Alligator mississippiensis: one gene and its partners. The protein of the gene in region 3 purifies or fractionates together with the protein of the main gene of each other region. This does not show direct contact. Links are inferred from orthologs where the notes say so. Each region holds a gene or a part of one and is shown on either strand. Other genes may lie near its edges. The genes, in order: NIPSNAP2, PARD6G, PRKCZ and LLGL1.

Evidence for each region.
Region 1: the proteins of PRKCZ (region 3) and NIPSNAP2 purify together in Homo sapiens (affinity purification with mass spectrometry; 3 studies listed by BioGRID and IntAct, counting the BioPlex papers as one, with this or other methods). This does not show direct contact. The link is inferred for Alligator mississippiensis from reciprocal best matches to the Homo sapiens genes PRKCZ and NIPSNAP2.
Region 2: the proteins of PRKCZ (region 3) and PARD6G purify together in Homo sapiens (affinity purification with mass spectrometry; 6 studies listed by BioGRID and IntAct, counting the BioPlex papers as one, with this or other methods). This does not show direct contact. The link is inferred for Alligator mississippiensis from reciprocal best matches to the Homo sapiens genes PRKCZ and PARD6G.
Region 4: the proteins of PRKCZ (region 3) and LLGL1 purify together in Homo sapiens (affinity purification with mass spectrometry; 6 studies listed by BioGRID and IntAct, counting the BioPlex papers as one, with this or other methods). This does not show direct contact. The link is inferred for Alligator mississippiensis from reciprocal best matches to the Homo sapiens genes PRKCZ and LLGL1.

Annotation. Positions count from the first base shown.
Region 1 is NC_081837.1:10,248,838-10,256,232, forward strand, and holds the start of NIPSNAP2 (protein NipSnap homolog 2), read right to left. Parts: upstream 3,010-7,395; 5' UTR 2,803-3,009; coding exon 2,726-2,802; intron 386-2,725; coding exon 246-385; intron 163-245; coding exon 117-162; intron 1-116. UniProt on the Homo sapiens protein: Protein involved in mitophagy by facilitating recruitment of the autophagy machinery required for clearance of damaged mitochondria.
Region 2 is NC_081826.1:113,746,953-113,754,876, forward strand, and holds the start of PARD6G (partitioning defective 6 homolog gamma), read right to left. Parts: upstream 3,005-7,924; 5' UTR 2,685-3,004; coding exon 2,613-2,684; intron 1-2,612. UniProt on the Homo sapiens protein: Adapter protein involved in asymmetrical cell division and cell polarization processes. May play a role in the formation of epithelial tight junctions. The PARD6-PARD3 complex links GTP-bound Rho small GTPases to atypical protein kinase C proteins.
Region 3 is NC_081836.1:13,357,452-13,364,534, forward strand, and holds the start of PRKCZ (protein kinase C zeta type), read left to right. Parts: upstream 1-4,077; 5' UTR 4,078-4,166; intron 4,167-4,344; exon of another isoform or gene 4,345-4,365; intron 4,366-5,640; 5' UTR 5,641-5,773; coding exon 5,774-5,844; intron 5,845-7,083. UniProt on the Homo sapiens protein: Calcium- and diacylglycerol-independent serine/threonine-protein kinase that functions in phosphatidylinositol 3-kinase (PI3K) pathway and mitogen-activated protein (MAP) kinase cascade, and is involved in NF-kappa-B activation, mitogenic signaling, cell proliferation, cell polarity, inflammatory response and maintenance of long-term potentiation (LTP).
Region 4 is NC_081836.1:55,000,204-55,008,060, reverse strand, and holds the start of LLGL1 (lethal(2) giant larvae protein homolog 1), read right to left. Parts: upstream 3,009-7,857; 5' UTR 2,901-3,008; coding exon 2,820-2,900; intron 1-2,819. UniProt on the Homo sapiens protein: Cortical cytoskeleton protein found in a complex involved in maintaining cell polarity and epithelial integrity. Involved in the regulation of mitotic spindle orientation, proliferation, differentiation and tissue organization of neuroepithelial cells.

The DNA of each region.
Region 1 (7,395 bases), on a different chromosome or scaffold from region 3:
GAACAGGGGTTTCCACTTTCTCATAACAAAGCCAACCCAGACCAGCCAGCTTTCAGTGCTCTCCCCCAGAACAAATTAATATGTCCAAAATCACAGTGAATAACATGCACACTTACCAAAGCTTGTTGTAGGCTTCTAAGCATTCTGGCTTTACATTGTGAACTGAAAAAAACCCAAAAAAGTCAATGAAAAATACAGGAAAGGAATAAAGAAAATAAACTGTTAAATATGAAAACATCACTCACATTGTATTTTATACAGACTGCTGGTCTCCTTTTTGGCTAGAAGATTGGAGTGAGCATCTTTCCGGGGATCAACTTTGCGAACAAACAGTGATTTTAACCAGCTGTCTTCACCGGCTCTGTTAGTTGAGGATACCAGTCCCCTACACATTAATGGAATATGCAGTCACTGAGTGTTCATTCAAAATGTGAGGATTGTTGAAAACAGCTGAGATAAGTTTAAATCAGTCACATTGTATCTTATACAAAGGTATGGTGCTAATTTTTTCTATTATCTAATCTCTAGCAATGCAACAGGTGCATGTGTACTCAACAAAGCACATCCTTACTGTAAAGACATCCCTGGATGGCCCAGAACTGCTCTACCTGGCCTAACACTGCCCCTCTTACACCCCTTGCATGCAGAGGAAGCAGGAGCACAGCAAGCTGTGGGTGAAGTGCTGCTGTGCTAGAGCCGTTCTTAGTTGATGCAACGGGCCCATGGACTACTACAGTCAGACACACATTTAGTATCCTGGAGCTGTTCTAGTTTATATCAGGTCTCAAGACAATATGTGGCATAAAACCCTGCCTGTTCCTACACTGATCATAGCCGTGCCAAGAGAGAAAACTAAGGCTACTCTGTCTTTGCTCAAGCACAATGTGGAGGTCTTTCATTTCTTGGAGTCTCAGAACAGGAGAGACTCCCTATGCCTGATGAAGGGTGACTGTTGTGCCTGAAAGCTTGCCAACATTTTTTTTCCAACTACTCAGTTGGTCTAATAAAAGATATCACCTCTACTCAAAGAACCTTGCCTGCCTAGGTCTTTCAAGAAACCCATAATCAACAGGAAAAAGGAGGTGCAGAGAAGGCAGTATGCATAAACAGGTTTGTCCACTGTGAATGACAGCAAAAACACCATGTGTGTTATGGCATTTTATAAAATAAATTTTTGCAAAAGACAAACTAATGCACCGCCCCAGAGAAGCTAATTTGGAAATGACTTAAAGAGTGGCAGGGGCCCTGAAGCCTGCATAGATTTTAATTCAGAGTAAGAGCAGTTCTAATGATCAGAATACAGATTCACTGTCTTTGCTCAGTTTACAATTTTTCTTGCTCTGGAACAACTGCACTGACTTTGATGGATGAAAGCTTGAATAGCATGTTTGAGTGCTCACAGAATTGATACACTCAAATTAGCTATTTATGACTTTATTACAACAACAAACAATAAAAACATAACAGGTAATCATGCTCTGAGTACACTAGAGGGACTTTTTCTTTTCTAATTGGCAGAAGGCCACCTCAGCTACCAGATGTGATTCATTAGTTCAGTTCACAACAATAGTAATGAGCTTGCATTGAAAGTGAAAAGCAAACAATAAAAAGCATTCATCTTATGCTGATTCTTTATACTGTACTTTTCCTCCTTGTCACCATTAGAAGTATTTTGTTCCTCACTCTTCCCTTTTCCCTAAATAATTCTGGCAAGTTTGGAATGCTTAAGAGACATCACAACCGGAGGGTTAAACCTCAACTGATTCCTCCAGCCTCAGAGGACAACTCTCCTGCTTCTAATCAATGCCTGGGAGACCTATCAGGGAGTTCCTCTAAATCAGGGGTGGGCAAAATGCGGCCCGCGGGCTGGATGTGATCCGCCAGACCATTCTATCCAGCCCGCGGGGCTCCTAAAAAATTTAGAAAATTAATATTTATCTGCCCCTGCCTGTCATGCAGCTCTCGATGGCTTGCCAAAACTCAGTATGCAGCCCCACACCCAAAATTACTGCCTGCCCCGGGTCTAAATGAATTACTGTCTTTCAGGTTCTCAAAAGGCAGTGAAAATCATTAAGGAAAAAGAAATTGGAAAAATAAATTTCTTTCATAAAATCTTTGAGCCAGTAGGCTTTCTGCATCTTAGAGCAAGAGTAAAGGAATTTATTTTAACATGCTTTGCAGTTCACTTATACAGACTAGATTTGGGCATTTGCTTTTGAGGAAGCAAAAAACACGTGATGGCAAGGGAAAGAACAACTGGGAGCGAGGTGACCTTCAACATAAAGAAGTGAGTAAAAACCTCTCAGTGCTCCACTTACTGGAGACTGCATTAATTTTTTTTCACTGTAGCCAAAGAAACAAACACTCTATTGTGTAGAAGTTATACAGCTTTCCTAAAAGTAAATATTTAAAAGGGTGTCTTGTACCAGAAATACTGCTAGGGCACGGAGGGCTGGAAGACATGCATTCGTTCTGTACTCTTCTCTGTCCCCATACGCACTGCAAAGGCTCACAGGGCATCCATGAGTTGTGATCCCACCCCTGAAGCACTTCCTTTGCTATTTTGGGGGGAGTCATTTAACCACCCTGCTTTATTCCCTCCCCAAAAAACCCTCTCTCATAGTTAAGGTTAATGAGTATTTATCTTTCATGGAAGGTGTTGTGAGGAATGGGTAATAATATTGGTAAAACAGTGAAAATGAAAGTGCTCAGCAAGCATGTTTACCTCCTTATCTGTATATGAACTTTACCACTATTCACAGAATTTGTGGTTTGATGTGGCCAGAAGCTTAGGACAGTCATTTGGTGGGGGTGGAGGCAGTTTTCTCAGTTTTTCAATGAAATGGTCAAATGAGTAATGTTTTAGAGCTGCACTGAATCTTTCAACCAAGAACTGGAAAGTGCTTTAGAAACAAGGCATTATTATTGTTGTTTTGTTGCTGTTGTTATTCCCATCCAGCAGAGATTGGCAACACTGACATTTCTGAAAATGGGTGCAGTTTGAGACAGTTAAGGACTGATTTTTTAATCAACACATCTTCTGATAAATCATGTCTTTTTAAACACGCACGCTCAAAAAAAATAAAATACATTTTGTAGCGTAGTTCCATAGTTCTGGAAGACAATGTCTTATTCTAGAATAAATGCAGTTACCTTCAGATAAAACTAAATGTTTACACTACAAGATAAATTCCACCCCAGGGGGTATCAGGAGTTTCCCACTGTTTTGAAGTGCTTGTGTTTGGGCAGAAAAACAGATGCAAAAGGCTATTTAACCCACAACTCCTTTTAAAATTTGTTGGGGGAAAAGGTGAACACAATTATCTGCATTAACAAAATAACAGCTTTAATTTCCTCTAACAGAAATATTATAAGGCACATAATAGGATTATAAACAAAATTCCAGTTTAAAGATCAATCCGATTCTGGAGTTACAGTACAGAAGCAGAGAAAATAAAAAGCATACAGAGTATCTGAACTTTAACCTCGTGTAACCGAACAATAACGCTCTTCTAAAGGAGGAAACGTCTGCTGCCAAATGTCATTTCTGGAATTAGATCAAAGTGTCCCTAATTAGTACAGAGTGAATTTGCAGGTCACATTCAATCGGTGCGGTTTTTGGAAGGCATCGCCTAGCTCGGCACAACGGGGAGAACAGGATCCCGTAGCTCGCTGCTACGAAAGAGGTCACTGGGTCACCTGGTCCCATCTTCTTGCCGGGGGCATCCCGGTTTCCTACTACTCTGTCCTCTATCCATACAAAACCCGATGCCTTTATGTCCTCTGTTTTTCTCTTGAAAATAAAAATAGAGGATGCAAAGGCATCGGGTTTCGTACCAATGGTCCCAGCCTAGCATCCCAAGTCGTACCCCAAGTCCCGGCCTTATGTCTTGGAGACACAAATAGAGGACATAAAGGCATCGGGTTTCATATCAACAGAGGACAACCGGACCGTCCTCCGCGATGGCCACCCTACTTCGCACCAGCGCAACCCCAGCGCACCACGACTCAGTCCCCAGCAGACCCTCGCTTCCCGCCCCGCCCCGCCCGATCGTAAGGGAGCTTCAGGCTGACCTCCGCGATGAGCACCCGCGTCTCCAGCGGCGCCCCCAGGCCCTGCAGGGCCCGTCAGACCCGCTCCTGCCGAGGAGAAATAAACACCCCCCCCCGCGAGCGGGGTGGGCCCGGGAGCCGACGCGGGGAATAAACCAGCTCCTCCCACCCCCGCCATCCCCACCCGCGCGGGGCGCGGCGCGCTCACCTGAGGGCCAGGCCGCGAGGCCCGGCCGCCCCCAGGCTCGGCTGCAGCAGCACTCGGGCCGCCATCTTGCTCCGGCTTCCGCCCCGCCCCCCGCTTCCGGGCGGCCGCAGGGGGAGCCCCGCCCCCGGCCCCGCCCCCAGCTCTCCCCCCGGCCAGGCTGGAGGAGCACGCGGTGGGCAGCCAGGCTCCGCCCCGCAAAGGGACTAAGAAAAAAGCAACCCCCCCCCCACCCCCCACAGCCATGCAGCATCGCCTCTGTGCCAACGCCAGAGGTTTCATCGCCCTGCACGACAGACTGCGGAAGCAGGGAGCTAGGGGCTGCCTGTCTCCCACGGATCAGACCCGGGAAAGAGTCACGGGCAAAACACCAGCAAATGTTGGGCACTGCCAGGCACCAGCCAGCACTGCTTTGCTGGTGCAAATGTCTGCGTACGCGTACGCCTGCTGCCATTGGGGCTGGGAAGAAGCAACTTGGCAGGAGTCTGGGAAATACGTCTAGGTCAAAACCCTGCGCAACGTGTGTGTAAAGAGATAAGCTTCAAGGCTTCAATGCTTTTCAAGTAAAAAACAAGGGCTGGGTTGCTTGATGCAGCCTTCCTCAGGAAAGAGAAGTCACCCTCCGCAGAAGGTGTAATGTTTTCTTCCTTCACCTCTTGCAGTAGCACTAGGGCTTCAATTGACCCAGACCCCGCGCAGTGTGAAGTAGCATTACCTCTTAAAATAACCTTAAAAAAGAGAGACTAACATTTTTAGAAGACTTTTTTTTTTCTTAACTAAGTTTTCTTTTTAAGGGCAGAACTCTAAAAACACACAGAAACCTAGATGAGAAATTACTACCTTGAAGTAATAGCTGGATTTTAAGATTATATTATAAATAGCATCACATAGTCCCTAGTAGGTGCGTCTACACAAGATGCTTAATGCCCGGTAGACTAATTCTACTGTGCGTTAGCGCAGCTGGCAAAATCCATGCTAATGTGCAGATTAATCCAATACGCATTAAGCATCACCTAAAAAGTGTTCCTCTACGCTAATGCGCAGTTGCAGTGATTATGGTGCATTGTTAGTATCTGTTTCTGCATAATTATGGCACATGAATGAATGTGTAGACAGTAGATATCAATTATACAAAAACTAGTTCTCATAAAGATGCGTTTTGGAAACAGCAGTGGTAAGATACGAATACACAGGTCTGTCCCCATGACCGTTCTTTCCTTTGGTTTATCAGCCAACAGGAGCTTCAGTAAAAGATCTATTTGCTGGGTATTTTTCCAGACCAGGGAAAAGACCTCCAAATAGCAAGGATGTCAACTGACCTTGTTCTGACCGAATCAATGCCACTTGGTAAAGTACAGAAAGAAAATACAGAAAGACAAATTCACTAGTGAATGAAAACTATACCAACATCAGATCAGAACGATATACAGCACTGCAACATTTTTGCTAAGATAACTATTCTGTAGCTGTGCTCACTGATATTTAAGTGAGGCTAAGAGTTATTTTCATCACCTAATAGCTACTCCTGAATGCCCAATGGTATGGAAAAATTTGACTTGCTATGAGTTTAATTTTTGTTCACAGCAACCCAAGTCACTTAACTTTTACTTTAAATGTGAAATAAAGAGTTTCACTTTCCTGGGTGCATAATGATTAGATATTACTGTAAACTGTGTGAAGACGCATCCAGAAATGTGCATGCAGTGTCCTTCAGTATCAATGAAATGCGAAAGCATGGTGTTGCAGCTTTGGTCGTTATTGATAAGTATTACAGTTATTTTTTATTAAAAATAGCTTGCCTCAGATTGTTTGTGGGTTACTATCGTATTTAGATCTGAACAGAATGAACCACCAGGCTAAATCTCCAACAGCCTGAAGTCACAGCTCTACAGTTCACTTGATTTTCTGGTTTGTCTGCTAGACTGAAAAAGATCATTACAAAAAAAATTTTGGGTGAACCCCAAACATTTTTCAGCTTTCTGGAGGCAAATAAAAATAGTCACTTCCTGTCAAAAATGTTTTGTTTCACGTAAACTATAAACTGTTTTGTTTGGATTTCAGGCATTTTTAACGAAGGCAAAGGACACTAAAACAAAGGGCTAGACCTACAAAGGCATAATCCCTCTTCGGCTACGGAACAGCTAGTGTGCAGCACTGGGCACACTGCAACCTTGGGAGACAAAGCTTTTAATTACAGAGCAAGCCCTAGTAGGGCAGGAATGAAGGACTAATTGGAAGGCATATAAATTAGAGGGCGGCTTTTAAACTCCATAGAGTAAGGCTGAAGTAGGCACAAGTGACACGATACTCCTATTTGGGCTGCAAATAAAAATCTATGGCAGGATATACACAGGAAAATCTATGCACCTATATAGAGGAAGATTCCTTTTCTGGTATGTTCTTCCTATGGCATCAACATAGGACCAACACATGCAGCCTGCAAGCCTTAAGTCTAGGTCCTGGAAGAGAGTGTCCCTGCGCTTTCAGCATAGAAATTGCTATTAATCACAGCAGCAGAGCCCTACAGCCCTGCTCTATCACCTGCCAAGGGGTGCTCAGGTCTCCAGGCAGCCTGGAATTCCAGCAGCACAAAGTCAGCTTTAATCTCCAGTCGCCACAGACTGAACTTTCTGCATTACAGCTTTCAGAGTATCAATCCCTGTATCTCTTAGCAGGATTTGGCACCTTAATTAGCTTTTCTTATTAGAAGATTAAGACTCTAAACATCTCTAATTTCATTTGCAGCACTGCATTCACAACATTTTCTTGTGTGTGTGTACTTTGTAACTTGTCTGTCAGGAGCCGGATACTTATTGGCAGCTTAAAGGGATATATCTTGCAGTTTATCGGTGTTAAATACATATCCACTTTCCCTTTGTTTTTGGAAGTTAGCTGAATTATAAAGAACTAATTTTTCCTTGAAATGTGGCTTTTATTGTACTGTAACAAAACTTCACTGACTTCAACCAGTGCTGGGTTGGACTTAGCATAAACTTACAATGAAACAGTGGCATAGCTTGGCAAATTCTCTATGGGATCCTTTCCACAAGTATGTCTAATAATAAAGCAGCCAACTTCAGCGTGGTGAACCAGAAAAAATACGCAGTTTAAATGAAGACAATTGTCACTTATTTTAT
Region 2 (7,924 bases), on a different chromosome or scaffold from region 3:
GATGAGCGACGCAGTGAACTTGCTCGCTAGCATGGCGCTGCATTGGATCAAGCGTTGTAAAGTCGAAACTGATGTCATGAAGTTGAAACAGGGTGTCAATTTATAAACGTTGTGAGCACGAAACGTAACTTGAAGTGTTGTAAGTCGAGGACTGCCTGTACTGTACTGCACAGGTATTTACCACATCAGACGCATGGTGAAATGAAGGTAGTGAGGTTAAGTGATCTGACCAAAGTCACATGGCAAGGCAGTGGCAAGACCAGGAAGAAACCCTAGTCCTCTTTAGCCTCGATTCTCAGTGATTTTGGCACCAAACTCCCACTGAAACCAACAGGTGCTAGGTACCTAAAATACCTCTTGAGGACCTGGCCCCTTATGCCAAGTACTTTGACAGTTTTCTACTGTTCCACAGTAAAGGTTCTCAACTACGGCTGGAGAGACAGCAGAATTACTTGCAATCGTGCAGAATCTTGCTCTGCAACTCACTTCATGGATTTTTATTTATTTATTTCTTCTGGCTTTTTTAGTTTACTATTACTTGGGAACCGGAAGCAGCTGGAATTCTGTCTCATGTCTCAGTATATATTTAAGATGGATGTAATTTACTTCTCATTACAAACACCAGCCCTGTCATTGGCTGCCTTGCTCTAAGGCAGGCAGGCAGGCTTGCTCAAGTTCAACATTCCCTAGGGGGCCCTTCAGAAAGCCATCAAGCTAGAAGGGATGGGGGGTAGGGCAGATCAGGATGCACATAGCAAGGGTCTCGTCTTTCCAAAAGAAGGTCCAGAGGACAACGTGCAGCTTCTTAGGAGTTGAACTTTTTTCCCCAACAAAGGGGAAAAGAAAGAAAGGGAGGGGGGAAATCACCAGATAATCAGATGATCACAGAAACCCAAACAAGTTTAAACATGATTGCATGGCTGAAGATGTGAAGCAAACATGACAGCACTGACTCAGGCTGAGCTTGCTTAAAGGAGCCTGAAAAATTGGAAGAGCAGAGGGGCGGCCGCTGCTAGACCCGCTCAAGATAAAAGGGATCCGAGGCAATTTTGATGAGTTTCCTATAAAAAGTCTGTGTGCGTGTCTCTGTATGGGTGCGTCTGTGTGTGTGTGTGTGTGTGTGTGTCCCTGTCTGTGCATCTGTGTCCCTGTGTACGTGTCTCTCTCTCTCTCTGTGTCTGTCACTGTGTGTCACGTCTCTCTCTGTCTCTGTGTGTCACTCTCTATGTGCATGTCTGTGTGTGTGTGTGTGTGTGTGTGCGCGCGCGCGGTTGTGTATGCGCATGTTTCTCTGGGTCTGTGAGCGTCTCACTCTGTGTGTGTGCATGTCTCTCACTGTACTTGTCTCGTGCTGTATGTTTTGCTGTGTGCCTTACTCTGCGTGAGTCTCTCAGTGTCACGCACTCTCACCGTATGCGCGCATGCACAGCCGTGTGATGCACGTGCCTCGCACGCACTCCCACCATGTGCGCATGCCTCGCGCACTCTCAGCCTGTGCGCATCTCACTCTGTGTGTGTATGTCTCGCTCTCTCGCTCTGTGTGCATCTCACTCACTCACTGTCTGTGTGCTTGTGTGTCTTGCTCTGTGTGTGTGTGTCTCACTCTCTGTCTGCATGTCTTGTTCTCTTGCTCTCAGTCTGTATGTGTGCATGTCTCTCGCTCTCTCAGTGTGTGCGTGTCTCTCGCTTTCTCTCACTGTGCGTCTCTCGCTCTCTCGCTGTGCGTGCATCTCTCGCTCTCTCTCACTGTGCGTGCGTCTCTCGCTCTCTCTCACTGTGCGCGCGTGTCTCTCGCTCTCTCTCACTGTGCGCGCGTGTCTCTCGCTCTCTCTCACTGTGTGCGCGTGTCTCTCGCTCTCTCTCACTGTGTGCGCGTGTCTCTCGCTCTCTCTCACTGTGCGCGCGTGTGCCTGTCTGGTCTGCCTTGTCAGGCCAGCCACAGCTACCTTGCGGGCATTCCCCGAAGTCCACACTCAACTCCTGAGTGGCTGTGCACAGCCAAACAATGGCCGGTTTACATAAAAGCTGGCAAACTTTTTTCCTGCTTGCTCTGGATCCAAGCCACTGCAACAAGAGATTGACTTGAAAGGGAGCAGAGTGGAAAGCTGCAGCATTGCGCCCCCAGCCCAGCCCAGCCCAGCCCAGCCCACCCCCTCTACCCCCTTTCCCTTCAGGATGAATCCGGCTGCGACAGAGCCTAGTGGGCTTCCAGCCCCTCAAACCCTCGGCTTTTGTGCCTTCTTTTGTGCCAACAGCCCCTGGCCACCAGCGCGCTGCCCACACAGCACAAACCTGCCCTGCCTGCAAAACTGGACCAACAACGTCCGGGCGCCCCAGATATTCAGGCAAGCTGCTCTGCCCGCCAATGCAAGGGGCGGAGGGGTAGGCAGCATCCCCCCAGTCCGCCCAGGACAGAAGGAGAGCAGCTGCCACCCGCAATCCCCTGTGCAATAACTTGGGACAGACTTTCCATCAGGAGAAACAACGACCAAAGAAAAAAAAAAGCTCGGGGGGGTGGGGGGGGGTCCTCCATTCATTGGCAAGGAGGGGGAGGAAGGAAGGAAGAAGGAGCTGCTGCGTCCCCAGCCGAGCTCGCCCCGCGATCTCCTTACCTTACTCTTCACTTCCACCGCGCTGCAATCGGGGGAGCGCAGAGTCTGAGACTTGTTAAAACTCCGATTCATGTTTCCGGCCCCCCGCGTCTCCCCGCGGCCGCCGCCTCCTCTCCGCCCTCGCTCCGCAGGGGCCGCCGGCCCAGCTGCCTCCGCCTGCGGGGAGCGCCCCCGCCCCTGCCCCTGCCCCTGCCCCTGCCCCTGCTCCTGCTCCGGTGGAACGCGGCCGCTCCGGACGTTCCAGCCTTTGTCCCGCCCGCCAATCCGAGCGCCCGCCGCGCTCCCCGCGTTCCGCTCCGAACAATCGCTCCGCCGCAGCCCGCAGCGCGCCCGGGACTCAAAGGCAGGGCGGGAGGGAGGCTGCCCGGCCCGGCCCGGCCCGGCCCGGCCCGGACCACGCCTCCCGGCCGGCCTCCCCTTAACCCGCGCCCCTTCCCTGGCCGCGGGAGGGAGGCTCCTCCTCCTGCCTCCGGCGGGTGCGCTTGCAGGGCTACCCACGGCCCTTCTTGCTGGCTGGAGAAGCTGCGGGAGGGGGCTGGGTACGTGAGGCGGCGTAATATAGGGGGGTCTCGACTTTTTTTGTACCGGTAAACCTGGATGCAGGCATGGGCGAACTCAGCAACTGCCTGGAGCCCGGATAGAAAGGGGGGGCCCGAAAATGGGGGGGGAAAAATTACAGTTGCAAAAAAAAGTTTTAATACAGGTTTCCCTCATTTTATACTGTACATGCCTTCCTGAGAAGCAGCGTGTAACTTGAATTTGCATACAGGGAACCCACTTTACAATGTAACAAATAGGGATATGTTCCAACATGGGTGACTGGTGCCTCTTGAGTCAGGGGGGGCATGTCCCGTCCCCACAGCGACCAGTCAGGGACTAGATCTTACTGTGGAGGGAGGGGGTCCCCCCACGGCTGGTCTCACTCACCAAAAAGCAGCCATGGAAGTGGCTGTGGCTGCTTCTGCTGGCGGCCCTGCTCCTCCACCAGCACTCTTGCACCACCTGGAAGTGCAGCTGCTTCACCTAGCAGCCCTGCTGCCTGGCTGGCGCTCGCAGGGGGGACATCAGTGCTCTCACCTGGCCTCCCTGCCCAAAGCTTGAAGTGGCTGTCGGGGGGACCACCAGCACTCTTAGGGGGTGCACATGCACCCCTTACGCGTCGCCACTGTGTTCCAAGACCTCGACTGTACTCACCCCCAATCCGATTCCTACCATTTTTACAAGACAATCTTGGTACTCACCAACAGCTACACAGGGCACTATCATAATGGGGATGGCAGCGATATAAAAGTGTTGTAGCCAACGAGCAAGGAGCACAGAATCACACAGGAGAGTATATTTTTGGCATGGGTCACTCCCACAACACAGTGCACAAAACGGTGGTTCCAGCACACCGATCACACAAGAGTGAATTTACCTCATGTATAACAAATTTTTGGTATAAAAAGGGTCATTGCATAAAAGTGAATTGGCACATATAGAACCTGCATAAAGTAAGGGAAACCTGTATTGTGCATATACACAATATGGTTCCTTCCCTCGGGAACCAGCAGCGGGAAGGAGAGGAGCCAGGCACACGTGTGTCCCGCACGCACGTGTGCCCCTTTTACCAACTGACTGACCAGAGGCGGTGGCGGCGGCAGCAGCAGCAGCAGCAGCAGAGGAATCGGCAGCAGGGGCAGCAGCAGCTGATCCCCCGAAGGTAAGTGGGGCGGAGGGACCTGGCGCAGCTGAGCTGGATCCGGAGGGGAAGCCCCCCGGGTCCCATATAGCTGAGCCGGTAGGGAGCCGCGCGGAGCGAACAGAGCGCGCTAACAGGCGTGCTCTGTAAGAGCATGCCGGCGTTTGCGCAGGTGTTCGCGCTGGCGGGCAGGCAGGAAGGGCCAGGAGTGAGACTCCTGTAGGGGTAGGGCGTAGACACCACACAGATCTACAAACAGCAGCTCGGAATGGTGTCTACGAGGAGTGCTGCTAGGGCCTCTGCCCAGGGGGACAAGGCTACCTGGGGCTGGTCTGAGGCCTCCACCCAGACCGAGCCCATGGGGGAGCTGATGTCCCCCTACCTCCTGGCCTGTGGGGGATCCCCAGCAGGGCCGGGGGGGGCAGAGATTGGGGGCCCCCACACCTGTCCGGCAGGTGCCCGTCTTAGGGCTCTGGAGGCGCAGGTGAGGGAGCTCCGGGAGGAGGTTAGCAGGCTGAGGGGGATCAGGGAGGCGGAGGATGAAATTGACAGTTATTTCCTTTCCCTGCAGGCCCAGGCACTCAAGGAAGAAGCAGCCCGGGGAGTGCCCTCCGGAGCAGAGTGGCAGACGGTCACAGCCAGGACCAGAGCAGCTCGCAGCGAACCGGTCGGTACCAGCTTCTCCAGTCCGACTGGTGAACAGGTACGAGGCCCTAGCGACCCTGCAGGAGATGGAAGGGGAGGAGGAAACCCTTGGGCAAGAAGAAACACCACGTTCTTCACACTCCGAACAGATCAAGAGATCCACGAGGACCCAGAGGAGGAGGCGACGAGTGCTTGTCATAGGCGACTCCATCCTGAGAGGCACGGAAGGACCCATCTGTCGCCAGGACCCCTTGGCACGGGAGGTATGCTGCCCCCCTGGAGCAAAGATTCGGGATGTGACGGAGGTAATCCAGGCCAGGATCAAGCCCACCGATTACTACCCCATGGTCCTAGTCCATGTGGGTACTAATGATGCGGCCAGGAGAACCCCCGATCACCTGATGGCGGACTACAGTGCTCTGGGTGGCGTGCTGAAGGAGTTCGGTGCACAGGTGGTTTTCTCCTCCATCCTACCAGTGACCGGACGAGGAAGACGGCAGGAGAACTGCATCCGAGAAACCAACTGGCGGCTTCGGCAGTGGTGTCTCGAGGCAGGCTTCGGCTTCCTGGACAATGACCCGCACATCACGACGAGGGACATGCTCAGCTGGGATGGGCTTCACCTGTCCCCCAAAGGTAAGCATGTGTTTTCTACTAGGTTGGCGGATCTCCTCCGGCAGGCTTTAAACTAGGCTCGTTGAGGGGAGGGGAGTATGAGGGCAGGGGAAGCTGTGGACCACCAAACCATGTGGCACCCACAAGGACAGCTCAGCCTGAAGAAGGAGGACATTGGAAACCTGAAAGCTATGGGGAGACCAGCACTACAGAACAGGTAAGAAACAAGAAGGTAAGAAACAAGAAGGTAAGAAACAATGGGCCCCTTGGGACTCGGAGCGGGGGGGCAGCAAAGGCGCCAGTCGCAGGGCTCAAGTGCCTATATACTAATGCTAGGAGCATGGGGAACAAGCAGGATGAACTAGCGCTCCTGCTTGCACTAAACACCTATGACTTAGTGGGGCTAACAGAGACCTGGTGGAATTCATCCCACGACTGGGCGGTACATATTGAGGGCTATAGATTGTACAGAAAGGACAGGTCGGGGAAGAAAGGGGGGGGGGGGTTGCACTTTATGTCAGTGACCAATATACATCAACCCTCATCAAGACAGAATCCAAAGTTGAGGAAGTAGAAGGATTGTGGGTTAGGCTACATGGGGGGCAAGGAGAAAGGGATTTGGTGGTAGGGGTCTGCTACAGACCCCCACACCAAGGGGAAGAAATAGATGCGGGGCTCCTGAGGCAACTCTCGGAGACCATAAAAGCTAAAGAGGCGGTAGTCATGGGGGACCTAAACTACCCGGACATCTGCTGGGAGACACAGACAACAAGGTCCCACCGCTCACGCAGGTTTCTAACCTGTGTACAGGACCTCCACCTGACACAGGAGGTACACGGTCCCACTAGGGGGAATGCCATACTGGATCTGGTATTGGCAACAGGGTATGACATGACAGGGGACCTCCAGATCGGTAGCCATTTGGGAGACAGTGATCACCTAATAATAGAATTCAACATAAGAGGTCGAGTGGGTAAGGTAACTAGTAGGGTGAAAGTGCTAGACTTTAGGAAAGCTGATCTCAATGCACTCAGGCGATTAGTCAAGGACACACTGCAGAGTAGGAGTTTTGAAGGGATGGGAGCCCAAGAAGGGTGGCTGTGCCTAAAGGAAACGATCCTTCGGGCACAAAGCAAGATGATCCCCGAGCGAGGCAAAAAAGGGAAAGGGGCCAGGAGGCTTCCATGGCTGACCGGAGAAATCCAGGGCAGCCTAAGGGCCAAAAGGGGAGCACATAAAAAGTGGAAACAGGGTGAGATCACTAAAGATGAATATACCTCCTCTGCTCGTGCTTGTAGGGAGGCAGTTAGGCGGGCCAAAGCTACCATGGAGCTGAGGATGGCAACCCAAGTAAAAGACAACAAGAAATTGTTTTTTAGATATATTGGGAGTAAAAGGAAGGCCCAGGGAGGAATAGGACCCCTGCTAAATGGGCAGAAACAATTGGTGACAGACAGGGGGGACAAAGCTGAACTCCTCAACGAGTTCTTTGCCTCAGTGTTCCTAAGTGAGGGGCACGACAAGTCTCTCACTGGGGTTGTAGAGAGGCAGCAGCAAGGCACCAGACTTCCATACGTAGATCCTGAGGTGGCACAGAGTCACTTGGAAGAACTGGATGCCTTTAAGTCGGCAGGCCCGGATGAGCTCCATCCGAGGGTGCTGAAGGCACTGGCCGACATCATTGCAGAGCCACTGGCAGGAATATTCGAACGCTCGTGGTGCATGGGCTGAGTCCCGGAGGACTGGAAAAGGGCTAACGTGGTCCCCATTTTCAAAAAGGGGAGGAAGGAGGACCCGGGCAACTATAGGCCAGTCAGTCTCACCTCCATCCTTGGTAAAGTCTTTGAAAAAATTATCAAGGCTCACATTTGTGAGAGCCCGGCAGGGCAAATTATGCTGAGGGGAAACCAGCACGGGTTTGTGGCGGGCAGATCGTGCCTGACCAATCTAGTCTCTTTCTATGACCAGGTTACGAAACTCCTGGACACAAAGCTATGGGGAGAAGTGGACACGCTGGAGGGCAGGGAACAGCTGCAGGCAGACCTGGATAGGTTGGACAAGTGGGCAGAAAACAACAGGATGCAGTTCAACAAGGAGAAATGCAAAGTGCTGCACCTAGGGAGGAAAATGTCCAGCACACCTACAGCCTAGGGAATGATCTGCTGGGTGGCACAGAGGTGGAAAAGGATCTTGGAGTCCTAGTGGACTCCAAGATGAACATGAGCCGGCAGTGTGACGAAGCCATCAGAAAAGCCAATGGCACTTTATTGTGCATCAGCAGATGCATGACGAATAGGTCCAAGGAGGTGATACTTCCCCTCTATAGGGCGCTGGTCAGACCGCAGTTGGAGTACTGCGTGCAATTCTGGGC
Region 3 (7,083 bases):
TGAACTCAGTCCAGCTCATCAAGAAACTTGATAATGAACTTTAGTGGGCATTACTTCAGGCCTTTGGTTAGTATCAGCTCAAGCAAGTCTGAACTACTCAAAAATTTAAAATAGCAAGAACCCACCAACAATTCCTTTCCAACAAGGGCCTCATCCTACTCGGTCAAGGAGTATTGCAGCTAACCCTCATGGCTACAGTGCCAATTGCTACCACACTTAAAGATATTCTTTGACTCTGTTTCACAGTTGTTAGGGGCTGGAAGAGATCTTACAGATCATCAGGTCCAGCCCCGCCTGCACGTGAGCAGGAAAGCCTGCTGGGATCAGACCCCAGCAAGATGGGCATCAAGTGTTGTTACCAACCTGTGGTTTTGTCACTGAACTTACTCCTTTGCATGCTCAATCACAATTCATCACATAGGAAAGGGAAAGAAAGATCTAGATTCCACAGATTTGCTGATGCTGCATTAAACAGCACTCTCATATTTGTGCTGGATCTGATCAAAGCTACTTTTCAAACACAACTCAAGTATTTCCAAAGAATATATTTTTCCAATTTTTTCTTTTCTCACAAAAGGACCAGTTCAATTTCTGGTGTGCTCTTAAATATGAAAAGAGGACATCAGGTATCAATAAAAGATACATTTTTCCAGTGGTTCCACCCACCCTACCCACCTTTTTCTTTCTAAATGTGGGATCAGGGCTTGAATCCTTTATTTCAACCTAGCACAAATTGGAATTACTGAGTTAGAAGCCTCTCAGAAATAGTGTTAGTAATAGGAATATCTGCAGATCTTTAACTTTAATTGTAGTGGGCCCTCATATAACAACTACCAATTTATTAGGCTGAAGGTAGTTTAATGGCATATGAAAAACGTAATGTTTTACAATCTGAAAAAAATCAGGTTTGGGGACATATTCAGGATTTCAGGCTTTAGGCCAACCAGAGTTGGCTGTTTTTCAAAAATAATATGCCAGGTACAATGATCTTACAATATGTAGCGCTTGCAAACCTATTACAACCTTGTTAATTAATCCATAGAGCAAAACGGACATCATATCCAAAAAGAGCCATCTGCCTACCCTTTTCCAAAGGCATGGGGAGCATCTAATAAGAAATGAATACATTTTAAAAATAGTGAGCACTTAATGAAACATTCCAAAGCAGTAACAATTGAGACATTTTTGTTAAAATTATAAAAGCTATATTAATCAATGAAAGAAACCCGTAAAGTGATACATTTATAATATCAATAGTTTGCTTTTTAAAGTCTTGTAAATATGCATGGTAGTTTTTTATGTACAAGATGTGATGGGGGAGACATTTCTCCCTGTAACAGGGAGCTGGAGGCTCCTGTTACTTTTAAGGGGAAAGGGCAGCAAACCAGGCCTACTGTGGCAGCTGAGCAAAGGCCGGCTGCTAGAAAGCAAGCAACTCAGAGGCAACAGGGATAAAAGCTGCAACTGGGAGTGCGTATCCTGGAGCTAGGCAGAAAAAGGGGCAGAACTCTAGGCAGCCGGGAGACAGTAAGGGGGAGCATGACTTGCTGTGGGGTAATGACCCAAAATTGGGTGCAAGTTTTGGTTTGAAGCAGATGCTTATGTTTCGACCAGAGATTTGGACTGTGACTATGGGAGTGGTCTGAAGGTCATAGGAGTTCTGAGTCAGGCCCAGGGCATAAGTCCCTGTAAGGAGCAGGGACCCAAGGGTGGATGAGAGAGAAAGAGCAGCATCATTTCATGCTGGGAACAGAGGTTGAGACAGGGCCAGGATTATTGCCCCTAAAGCACATTGTTCCCTAAGGCAAGGATACAGCTAGGAGTGCCACCATTTAGTGTCTGAGGTGCAAGACAACTACCAGTTGGGCGCAAGTAGTACTAGGGTTCTCGTTAAACAGCAAGCTGAAATGAACTGAGGGTCACTCTAAAACCATGGGACAGCCTTCCTAAGTGCCATAATATCCATCAAGGTATAGCAGAAAAAGGAAGGGTACTCTGAGGGGCTGGACTGGGGCAGGAGTAGTTTGCCCACTGCGGGCATCACAGTCATCCTTGGGGCTGGTGATATCACATTCCCTTCCCTTTGCCCTCCCCCCTCACCCCATCCCAGACCAGAAAAATTGTAACGCTAGCTACTTCGAAAAGTTTTACATCTAAAGATCTTCCAAACCTTAACAGGCTAAATTAATTACTTCCAAATCAGGTGGTGTGAAGGTAAATCTATATATAACTGGACATGGCGCAGTGTAGTGATATCTAAATGAGCTAGCTCAGCTAGCAAATGCAGGACAGCCATAGCAGCCTACTACTCCCTGCAAGTAAAACTAGCTTTTGTGGGCCTTGATGCGACTGTTCCCATTATCTGAACTAGCTGGAGTACCTCCACATGCCACTGCAGAACTTACTCTAAGTATCATTAGCCCAGAGAGGGAAACTGAAACAGTTTTAAGGGACAGTTTTGAAACCTTACTGGTGACTCCATTGGAGGGGTACTAATTCTTGCTTAGTAGGAATAAAGATTGTCAAATCAAGGCCTCAGTGGTTTATACCTTCTTTTGCTTCTCTCACCACTACTTGGGTGCACAGCTGGAAGTAAAGGGCCATAGCTGGAAATAAAGCTTTACATTTCTTCATTTCTACTTTAAGTTCTCTACGAGAAAGAGCAGTAGAATAAAAACCTCTTTTATCCATCTCAATTAGCAGTTATAACCCCTCAATACCTCTAGGGGAGATCAGCTTGTTTCCTTTGATGCATCTTAGATGCAGGCCATAACAAACATTTAGATAGTCCAGCAGCATCACCAGTACATATATACCATCCTTTGCTTGTTTGAGGTTTGTATTGGGTTTGTGTTTTTTAAATCATTGGTGATGTTGCTTGCTTATTTGTTTTTCTTAGTCACTTCCTCTGTCCCCACATTTTGTGTGTGTTGATCAATTGTTTTCCTCCTTTGAAAATATATTTAAAAGATTTGTTTGGTGTTTGACTTGTGTCTCCTTTTCAAAAGACAGGATGTCTAAATGAAACAAAAACAGTTGCTGAAATGGATCAGGATCCAGTCTATTGGTTTGTCCGCCCCCTGTGCTCAGATGAATAAGGACAGAAAGATATGGATTTTCTTGAAGAGGTCACGAAACTAGCGGAGATGCTAGTGAAGACGTGCTTTCTGAACTGGACTGGAAAATGGCTCGCTGAGGAACTTCTATTTTGATTGCACGTTGAGGCTTCTTTTCATTGATGAACTTATTAATTGGTTTGGAACTGTTACTTTTACTGAGGGATGCAGTGACCTCTGCTGTTCCAAGTGTGCCTGGAAATTGATTACATAAAGATATATAAAGTAGCAAATTGCCCTTTTTATTAGATATAAAGTGCAGAGAAAAGGCCTAAAATTATAAAAGAAAAATATGTGAAAGCGTAGCGCACACTTGCACAGCAGAAGGAGCTGCCACTGAACGTGCAAGGCTTACCAAGTCTCAGGGAGGAGGCGTGGGTTTCCACAGACGCCTCCTGTTGCCACAGCGATTCCGTGGGCCATAATCTGTGGCCCAAGAGGTGATGACACAAATAACACCCTGTTTTCTATCACGGGACACACTGAAGTGCTTCAGAAACTGGACTTCACTTCGCTCCCAACTCCAAGCATGCGCTCCAGACAGGGAACCGAAGTGATGTGCCTGCAGCAAAGCCATGCAGAGCTGAAAGCAGAAGCCAGGAGTCCCCAGACACCAAGGCTGCCCTCTTTTTGAGATCCTTGCCCCCAAAACCCTCCTAGAGCTGCGAGCAGGAGCCCCAGGGCCCAGCAGGCCCACGGCCCTGAGGCCATCCAGCCCCGGTTACTAAGTAGATTAGCTACGTTCCCCCATCCCCTTTTCCTATTGGCTGCAGGTGTTCGCTTGCCTCCTCCTTTTTTTTCATTGGTTGCATGGCCCCTGCCGGCCAGGTAACGGATGCGGGCTTTTGATTGGTCAGACGCGGGCGGGATCCCTCTTGGGATTGGCTCCAGGTGGGCCGGCGCTTGCTATTGGCCGGCAGGTAGCGTGGGAGGCGCTCTATTGGCTGTTGTGGGCGCTAACCTGCTGGGTCCGCCATGTTTGGAGTAGTGGCGCCGGTGCCGCCGCAGTCGCGGAGCGGGGGGCGCTGAGCCGAGCCGAGCCAAGCCGAGGTGGGAGCGGGGCGGCGCGGGGCTGCGCGGGGCAGCGGGGCTCGGCCGCCGCTGTCTCAGCCGGCCGGGCCGGGGTTGCGGGGGTCGCCCCCAACTTCCTCACGGGACTTCGGGCAACTTCCAACGCGGGGCGGGGCGGGGCGGGGCGGGGTGCGGGGCGGGCTTGCCCGGGAAGGGCCGGGAGCCGCCGCCGCAGCAGGTAGGCGGGCAGGGGCGAGAACAACTGCAGCCCCTTCCTGGATACAGGGACCCCCCCTCCCCCCCCCCCCGAAAAACAAACACCCCCGCGCTGCCCCGAAACCTTCCGTGGGCAGAAGGGCTAGGGGCCAGAATAAACCACGTGGCCCAGACTCCGGTGGGAAACAGCAGCCCCCTGTGAGACTCCAAATACACCCCTGTAACTGCCACCGCTCCCAGGGGTAGGAGCCAACTGGGGTAACGGGGTCTTCCCCAATCTGGGTGGGGCTGGTCCTGCTGGGGGTGTGAGTGTTTGGGGGGGTGGACGAGCTGTGACCTCCCGGGGTCCCTCCCACGCTCCGTGTCTGTCGTTCTGGGAAGTGTCCATCTACGTGTCCATCCCCGAGCTGCCCCAGCGTGCCTCCGATTTACCTCCCTCCCTCGCTGCAGGTGGAACTAGCCTTGGTTTCCGATACAGCAGTGTTTTTCATGTGTGCAAGCTGCTTTGGACGTGGAAAAGTGAAATGTTGTGTGACTAAGAAGAGAAAACCTAGGAAAGAGACTTGTAAATAAGGGGATCTGATCCTTGCCATTAGTCTTTTAAGAAAAGATTGTCTTTGCAGTGTGTTTTATTTGTGATTAAAGGGCTGAAAGTTTAATTAGGAAATGGTTAAAAAAAAAACCCCCAAAACGCCCTTGTCAGACACGGCTTTGTTTTGTCCATGCAGTTGCTGGATGAATGTTTTAATTGGTGGAAACAGGAATCTTTTGAGGCCTGATCTTCTGGAAACCAGAATAATCGTGTAAAATAAAATGTAACTAGCCTGATTAAGTTTTACTACCAGTAACTTATTTCATAGTCATTCCTCTGCGGGACAAAGGGCCCTATGGATGTAAACAGTCCAACTGCTTTCTCAGGTGTATTGTTTAAAGCAGCGGCTCCCAATTTTTTTTTACTGCGACCTTAAACCCAGGTCATGACCCCTGCTCTCACCGCCAACTCACTTGTGCCCGACGGCGCCAGTAGAGCCCAGGCCGGGCCAAGATTGTGGGGGGGTAGCGGTGGTGAGAGCCGTATGGACCATGTACCGAGAGAGCCCTGCAGGCAGGAGGGGCAGAGCAAGGCGTGGACCCTCTATGACCCTGGTTTACGTCTTGCCCTGAGGTTGGGAGCCACTGGTTTAAAGTGACTGGGGTTTCCAGGATTTGGCTCTGCACATGTAAATTTATGTTGTATTTCAACAATTCTTTGTGTGTGTATGTGCATTTATATGCTGCTTTTCTTTTCTGTGTGCAGATGGACAGGGTATCAGCTGGAAATTATACCTGCTCATTAGAATTCAGCACAAGATCAGTTGTCTTTTTTGAATGATTTGAAAGATTCTTCCATACACTGGCAAAATATTTTTATTTAGACTGCTATCAGTATCATGCCTAGCAGAATGGGATCAAAAATGAATCTGAACAGAGACTTCATCAGAGTAAAAACACATTATAATGGGTAAGTTGAACAGTTTTTCAGCACTACATCGCATGTGGTTTCAGTTTGCACTAACAGAATGCACTGTAGTCTTACTTGATTATAGAGTTGTAGAAATCTATGATACTACAGGTACTAACAAATCATTCCAGGTACAAAGTTTGTAGACTTTCTTGGGTGTTAAAATAAACTTAAATCAGTTGCTACTTTATTGTTTATGGTGGAGTTCTACTTCCATTTAGGCATCTAAATGGCAGTTTTCCAGCTACATAAATAATGTTTTTCACATGCAGTTCATAATTGTGTTTTCTTTTACAGTGAGTGTTTGTAGTTCTAGACTGAGAGTTGCAGTAGGTTATACTGGCCAGATGTGCTTTTTCCAGGACTTATGAATTATATCACAAGGGGCTTTCTTATGTTTTAGCCCTCATAGCTGAGTGGTAGGGGCATTTACTCCAGCTTCTTGAGACTCGTGTTCTAGACCCCATTTGCCCAGAGAAGGTTTGATCCTCCACCTTTCTTACTGCCCAGTTATACTGCTGTAACCACTATGCCACTAGGCTCTTTAATGTTCCTTTAAAAGCTGAGCCACTGCCCCTTGCTTTTAATAGTCATGAAGTAAAATGGATGGAGAGCAGTTTTATGTTGTGGGGAGGTTTCTGCCCCATTGGGAGCAAGGTGCTTCCTTCCTTGTGTCAGTAATCTGAAAGCTGAAATGCACACAAGTTTGCTTTCTTCCTCCTGGCCCCACACACATCCCCGTTGGCTGCCCAGAGGGCTAGCTTCAGAGGTATTCTAGAGAAGACACTCAGTATTATGTGCCCTTAACAGTCCAGGCACTGTGCTGGGAAGTCGGAGAGATGCAGATTCAAACCCTTGAGCTGAAACACAAAAGGGCCACCCTCCTCTTCCTTGCTTTTTCTGGGATTTATTCTCGTGTAGGCATGTGTACCCAGGAAGCATGTAGCCTACTGTGCATGTTCATTCTGCTTGTGTATCTATACTGCAGGGAAAATAAAATTGAAAAATGTGTATAAGTGGCAAAACTGTTACCTGTGTGACTGGAAAACTATTATTTAGATGCACCAAGGGAAGTGAAATGCTGTCCCTGGTCTCTAAAAACTAGTGAGAGAGAAGTTTCTGGTTTGTTCTTTTTTACTTGCTGCTGCTTGGTTTTGTTTCAAAACTGATTCAGAATGGTGTGTGTTTAGAAACAGATGTACTATATCTAGGTGTATTTGCTGATCCAGTTCAACCCTT
Region 4 (7,857 bases), about 42 Mb from region 3:
ACTGCAAAGCACCTCAACAATGGGCAAATGTGGGGCTTCTAACTCACGCCCAGGACCCCTCTTCTTCCCCAGGTCAAGATGCTCATGATGCAACACAAACACCCAAGAGCACAGCAGCCCCGAGGCTGAGAGATGACCAACGTGCTCCCCGCACGGGTGCAGCAGCCTTTGGCAGCCTCCAGATCTGCAAAGGCATCTCGTCGCCCCATGTGCTGGGTCAGCACCCACCACACGCAGCCCTCAGGTTACCAGCCTTCATCCAGCCCTGCCTCTGCCCTACTTTGGGGATCGAGCACCAGTCACAAAGACACCTGCTCATCAGGAGACCAACTGCAGCAACTGGAGAATGTCCTGGACCCCGTGGCATCCCAGAAGGCCAAGGCCATGCTTCCAGGAGGCAGCTGGGGTGGAAGCAGGTATCCAGGGCAGGCTGCTGTGCAGCTGCAGCCCCATCCCCGGATAGAGGCCGAATCGACCCATTTCTGACAAGGACAGCGGCCAAAACCCCCCCTTGTCAGAATTAGCCGCCGGCTACTAGCAGGGTCCTTGAGAGATCAGGCCAGCAACCGACCTCTGGGACCGGGAGCGACACAATAACTCGTGACCCAGCAAATCTCCCCTTGCCATGGTGCAGGACTTCTACCGCCAGCTGCAGACGACTCATTAGCCTGCCCGCCCTGGGTGCAACAGGGCCAGTCAGCAGCTCGACAACACCAGCCAACCCCACAGGACCAGCCAGGCCAGTCCCGGCTCCAGGCTCAGCACACGCTCGAGTCACAGCAGCCCAAAGCACCAGGCCCAGTGGATGCTCCACCTGCCCCAGCTGCAAACCTGGCAGCTGGCACGCAGCACCGCTGGAGTGAGCAGCTTGTGGGGCCAAGGGAGCTCAGGAGCCCCCAGCCAGCTCCCCGCTACCTGCCAGCTCGATGGAGGCGGCGTCCTGCAGTGGAGCATGCCACAACTGGTCCCACGGTGCTGGCTTGGCTGCAGGGGGCTGCTCTACGGGGGGACGGCTCCCCAAAGCATGACATGCCTGGGAGGGGAGGCTGCTGGCAGCCACCACGGCTTCCACATGGAAACCCTTGCAGCAGCTTGGCCCTTCTCCATGTGCAGCGGGGCCCAAAACCCACCAGCTTCAGCCCCATGCAGAGGCACCTGCATGCTGGGGAGCCGAGGCAGGAAAGGCGGCATGCACACACGGACTAGCCCCCTGCTTCCTGCAGGGCTCCTGCACCGCCTCCCCGTGCCACGCACCCACACACCCCGAGAGCGAGTCCACAGCCCCTCTCCCCAATAGACGGTTGTGTCCCAAGCCATGCACAGCGATGCACAGCGCTGCTGCAGGCTCCCACGCAAGCTCGAGGGCAGAGAAGAGAGCAGCCTCAGCCGTTTGCCCCCTGCTCCCCGCTGGGGTCCGCAGAGGTGCCAGGTCTGCTCGTTCCCAGCCTTGCTCAAAGCCAAACAGCTTTGCTTAACAATGGAGACCGACAGCAGCAGGGAGCACAGCCCAGCACTTCCCTGCCCTTCTCCGGTCACACCAGGCACTTGGAGGAGAGGAGCCCCCTCCCTGTAACAACCCCATCTGGCTCCATCCCAGGACAGGCCAGAGCTCTCCCACGTGCTTCGAGTCCGAGCCACCGGGGATTGGCAGGCCCAGGGGGACCGTGGTGGAGCAGGGACCCCCCTACCTGGGCCACAAGCTCCTTGGGGCAGGTGGGACCTCCTCACGCTGGAGCCCGCGAGGAACAGGAGCGCTGGCATCGGGGAAGGGAAGGCCCTGAGAAGCCTCCTCTCCTAGCCCAGTCCGCAGCCCGGCTCCTGGCAGGCGAGCCGTCCCACACGGGCTGCCGGCACGAAGCGCAGCCCCGGGCTGGGGGCCGGGCACCAGGGGATGCCTGCAGGGGCCCTGGCCGGGCAGCCGTGGGGAGGGGATGCACCATCGTGTCCGGGGCTCACTGCCGTCCCCACGGGGCCTCTGCGAGCAGTCAGGAGGCAGAGGTGGGCGAAGGCCGGACAGCCAAGAGCCGGGGGCCGCGGGTCCCCCCAGCGCAGCCAGGTCGCCGCTCCAGGGAAAGAGCCCAGAGGGCTTGCTGGAGGGGGCAGCCCAGACAAAGGGCGCAGGCTGCTGACGGAGGAGCGCCCGGCACCGGGGGCTATACCCTGCCCGGAGCGAGGGCCACATCCCGCTGCCCCAAGGCCCCCGGCCGCGTGGGGACCCCAACCCAAGGGCCGGGCAGCAGCCCCCGGGGCCCCACCGTCCCCTCGCCCGGGGCCGAGGCTGGTTTGCTGGAGCCTGGCACAGGGGCTCTGGGCACCCGAGAGGGGCCGGGGTCGGAGAGGCGGGGAGGGGAGGGAAGGGGCCGCACAAAGCCCGAGCTGTGGCTCCAGCCTCCCGCTGCTTTGTGAGGCCCGCGGCATGTGTGCCCCCCCACACGTGCACAGCCTTGCACGCACGGCCCCCCTTACACACGCACTGCGCCCCCCTGCGTGCACACCCCCCGTGTATGCACACACACACACTACACACCTCCCTTGCACACACACACACTGTACACCCCCCGCACATGCATATGCATGCACACCCTCCATACATGTGTCCTGGCACACCCCCCGCCCTTGCACGCACACTGCACCCCTTGCACACCCCGCCCCCCCTGCACGCGCACACACACACTGCTTCCCGCCGGGTGTGCAAGCCTCGTCCCCACCACCGCTTCACCCCCCCCCCCCAACAGCAGGGAGGAGGATGCACACGTACCCCCCCAGCCCTTGTACACACACACACACGCACGGGGGAGGGGCAGGGGCGGGCGCGGCACCTTGTTGAAGGCGAACAGCTCCTGCTTGATCCGGTCGCGCTGCGGGTCGTGGCCCCCGCGCCGGAACCGAAACTTCATCATGGTGCCGGCGGCGGGGCTCGAACCGGGGCCACGCGGGGCGGGCCGGGCGCGATCGGACTCTGCTGCCGCCTCGGCCGCGCGGCGCCCTGCTGGGAGGGGGCGGGGCGGGGCGGCTCTTTTCAAGGGGCCCGCGGCTGAGTGACGCTCAGGGCAGCCAATCAGCGATTCCCCCTGCGGGCCCCGCCGACCAGACAATGCGGGCGGCGCCGGGCGGCTCCCCAGGGAGGGCGGCACCGCCTCGTGCGCGTGCGCCGCGTCCGGCCCGAGGCAGGCTGGGAGATGTAGTTTCCTGCTGCCAGCGTTGCTCTCGCCTGCCCCCTGGCGGCGGGGCGCGGCGCTGCCCTGCAGAGGGCTCAGAGCAGCCCTGGGGCTGGGGGGCCCCGCCCTGCCACCCCTAGGCACATGCGGGGGAACAGCGTCAGTGCCCACACCGTCTGCAACCCCCCAGTGATGGGCACCCGCAATTTATCACCTAACCCCCAGCTGGGGTCTGGGGGTGCCCCACGGTGCTGCAAGGAAAAGCAGGAGGTGCCTTCAACCCCTTGCAGCTGTGGGCGCTGGGTTCGTTCAGTCACCCCCAGGTGGAGGCACAGCTCCCTGCCAAAGGGCGGTGGGGAGTGAAATCCATGCCCGCCGTGCCCCCACTGCCCCCCGACTCCCGGAGCAGAGGCCGTCTTGCTCCTGGAGCCTCTGGCACGCGATAGGGCCATGCAGGAGCTCCAGGGAAGAAAGAAGAATCCAGGCGGGATCGTGCCCTGGTCCTTAGACGCGGATAGAGGCCCCGCTGAAGTCCTTGCCCCTGCAGTGCAGGCTCTGTGCGTCTCCCACCTGCCTCCGCCCCGGGCTCCCTGGGCAGCTCCCTCCGGGGGTGCATCCAGCAGCACCCAGGGCAGGGCACGGGCGTCCTAACCATGGGAGGTGAATGTGGGATAGGGATGCCCCAGCCAGCAGGGTCAAGCCCGAGGGCAAGCGGTGCCACCTATCCAGATGGGTACAGGGCCTCTAACCCTGAGACAGTGGGGGGCAGGGAGGGTGCAAATTCGCACCCCAAGTGGTTGCACCAGTGCTGCCTCTGCCTGGGCAGCGGCTGCCATGTGGGGGAACCCCCATAACCCTGGGGCATCAGGCCGGGCAGCGGGCACTTTGGGAGGGTGGGAGCACCCAGCAGTGCACCCGTGTAGACCAACCCAGGGGTGTTTCCAGCGGAGGGGGAAGATATCAGCCTTTTTTGCACCTGGGCTGCCTCCAGCTGCCCTGCAGGCCCCGGCATGGTGCTTAGCGCCCCCCGGGGCGGCCGTGGCAGGGGCTGGGGCAGGTGGCCCGCTGCAGGGGCAGGCCCCGCGCCTGGAGATCCACGTCACCGTGCAGTGGAAGCGAACTAATGAGAACCATTTGCATCCAGAGCAAAGTACAGCACTGTTGGCAGCTGGGCCAAACTCTCCCCTGGTGTTAAGCTGGACTGGCCGGCATCACCAGACAGGCTGGCAGCCGTGACACCGCTGAGCCAGGAGCTGTCGGATGTCTAGCGGAAACCCTCCAGGACCCAGCGCTGTCCCGTGGGGGTGCAGGCCCCCGGGGCGAAGGCAAGGGCAGTAATGAGACACGTGGCCTCATCTGCCCGAGTCACAGCCAGGAAACACTGAGTCAGGCCCTCCCGACCGGTGGTGCATGCTGCGTTTGCTTGGAGGTGTGCGTGGGCAGGGCCCGCTCTCAACTCGTCTGTACAGCGCCGTGCACACAGCTGGGACAGAAGCAGCAGCAGGGCTTGGGGATGTCGGCATTTCCTGGGGCTCCCGTCAGGGCATCACCCACCTGTCCCCGGCCCCCACCTCCTGCCGCATGCCCAGCCCCGGCTGGGAGAGCTAGTTGTGATGAACAAGCAGACGAACGAGCTGGTGCGGAGACAAGGCGCGGGGCCGGGAAGCCGTGACTCACCCGGCTGGGGCACGGGGCGACTGGTTGAGCCGCATGTCTGCGCCTCTGCCTCCGGCTGCAGGCAGGGACCGTGGGCAGGGGCAGGGTGAGGCTGGGCACGAGGGCAGGGCAGGGTGGCACCACGCCCAGCTTCTGCCCCCAAACATGATGCCCTGACGGGAGAAGAAAGAAACTGGCTCCGCACCCACCCCAGCCTGGGTAGCAGCTCATCACACACACACACACGCACACACACACACACACACACACACACACGTCCCAAAAGCTTCCCTACACACAAACCCTGTTGCCCCCCCGCACACACTTGCCATAAAGACAGACAAATACACACACACACACACACACACATGCGTGTGCACACACGCTCACCCCCAGCTGCCATGAAGGGCCCCCCCACTATCCCATCCCATCCCATCCCAGGAAACAAATCAGTCCAATGCTGACGGCTTCCAGCACAGCCACTCCCAGCTGCTCCGAGCCGTGGGCCAGGCCTGAGAGACTGGCTCAAAAGCCGCAGGCTTTGTGCAATAGTGATGAGGATAATGATTTATGATGATGATTGTTACTGTTGTTGTTATTATTATATTACTAAAACACTGCTATTCTTTGCATCCTGGTCCCCAAGCCTCCCGGGGCAGCTGGCCAGCTCTTCCCAGCACCCGGGAGGGCTGGGAACTCCCCCGGTTCTCTGGCATCCCCTGACTCCTGGAGCTGGGGCTTTAAGGACCTCCTGCAGATGCTGTAGGAGCCTGGATAGGGCCGATCAGATCTGGCATTTCCCCTTGAATTCAAGCGCCCGGCAGCGCCTCGCTATAGCCCCTGCCCTGCAGTGACATCAGCTACCAGCCGGGCACCGCGCAGCCTGGGCCAATTAGCACAGTGGGGTCATTACAGAAGCTGGGAGCCCCATGCTCCCAGCCTGAGCTCCACAGCTGGAGTAGGATGGAGCTGGGGTAAGCGCCCATGTGCCTGCTCTTACCCCGTAATAATGCTCCCGGACCATGCACCGGTGGCTGCGTGCCAGTGACCGCAGCAGGGGCTCAGCCAGGTGCCAGGGGCACTGCGGACAGGGCAGAGGACAGGACCAGCCCCATTCTGGGGCAGGGACGTGCATGCCGCCAGCGCTCTCCGGGAGCCCCCAGCACCTGCTCTCAGATCCGCAGCTCATTTCCATCTGCCGCGGCTGGGAGGAGGGCGCAGCCCAGCTGCAAATTCCCCGCGGTGCACAGGGTTTGCACAATGCATCGTGAGAGCTGCCAAGAGCACTGCCCTCGCAAGCAGCGGGAAGCCCCGGCGGTGCAGCTGCAGCACAGCCAGGCCAAGCTCAGGGCGCTCGGCTCAATGCCGGCCGCGCCTCGGGGCTCAGCAGCCTGCAGAGACCCCGGGCTCCTGGCCCCGAGCACCTGGCTTGCCCGGAGCCAGGTTCGTTCTCTCCGGGCCCCTGCTCCATCACCCACAGCTCAGGCTGTCCCCCCCTGCCCGCCTGGCTCTGGGGGTGCCTGCCCTACAGCACCCTGCTCAGCACCGGCCTCAATATTGCCATCGGACCCCTCCTATACGTCTCCAGGCACCACGTCCCGCTGCCCCCGGTCCCTGCGAACTGGCAGCCAGGTCTGGTGCCACGGGGCTGCTGCGGGGGCACGACAGGCTGGTGCAAAGCTGTCCCTCCAAGCCCCCAGGACCCAGTCCAGCCCCTGAGCACGAGGCTGTGCTGCCAGGCTGGTCTATTCCAGCCTCCTCTGGGCTCACACGTGGGCCAGGCCCGTGCAAGACACGGGACCCAGGGCTCCCCCACTGCTAGAGGCTTTGCTTATGGTTTAAATGAGCTTTAGCACATGAGACCGATGGTGGCTTGAAGGGCAGGGCAAGAAGAAGCCTCCTCCAGGGAGGCCGTCAGGATGCGGCCCCCTCGTTCAGGGCATCACGCTCCCCTCTGCGGGGACTGGCCCAAGACCCACCCTGATTGTAACCCCCTTGCAGGCTCTCGCCACTCCCCGCAGTGAACAACCCCAGGCGTGACCGAGCCGCCACCATCTTGGGACCAGCCCCTCTGCCCTCACTGCCGGCCCCAATCCTGCATCGCCCTCCCACCCTCTTGGCACCTCTGTCCCAACCCTCGTGCCGTTCCCTCCCTGCCCGGGCTCTCATGCGCTTGCATGGGGATGGAGGCGCATGCGTCCGCCAGGTGCAGGAAGCAGGAGGCAGCGCTCGGGTATTTTTGGAGCTGCCAAGAATAGCCGCGGTTCTGGGCCAGAGCGACGCAGCTGCTGCTGGAATTTCCCTGGAAACCTGCAGCCCTCGGGAAAGCAGCGGGGCGGGCGCTGGCCGCCCGGAGCAAACCCGGCCCGCGTGCCCAGTGGAGAGGGTGGCTGGACCTGGGCCCTGCACCGGGGGAACGTGTGGGAGGAAGAAACCCTGCCTCATGCCTCAACCCCGAGAAGAGGCAACGGTGTGAGGGGCGAGACCATATGCATGGGGCTGGGGCACGAGGGTGCCCGTCTGCTGGCCGTACCCATGGTGCCAGCCCACCTCGTACAGGTTGTGCCGTCCCATTTGCTGCAGGGGATGAGCTCTGCAAGCCAGAGGTGTCTGTAGCAAGGAGCGATCGGGGAAAACCCGGAAGAAGCCAGGCCGAGCGCTCCTGGGTGATGGATGGGGACAGGGCATGGGGTCGTGAGACACGAAGCCAAAGGTCAGAGGTCTTTAATTAGGTCTCTGTGCAGCGGGAGGGGAGCAGCTCTCTGGGCCCCGTCCCCAGGACAGACGAGTGGGCGCTGGTCAGGATGCTCTGCCGGCGAGGGGAACACGGGAGTCCAGGCATGGGGGGAAAGACCGGAGCCCTCCTTAACTGCTGCTAGGGGCCGACACGCACGTGACAGCCCCAGAAGCGGAGGCATTGCCCCCGCCGGTGCCTGGGGTACGAGCCTGGGCTGCCTTGATTGTCGTCACGTGACTGCGGCCACAGGAGAGTCAACTCCCGGCAGCCCCCGGCTGTGTTACCCCAAACTGGGACACGGCGCCC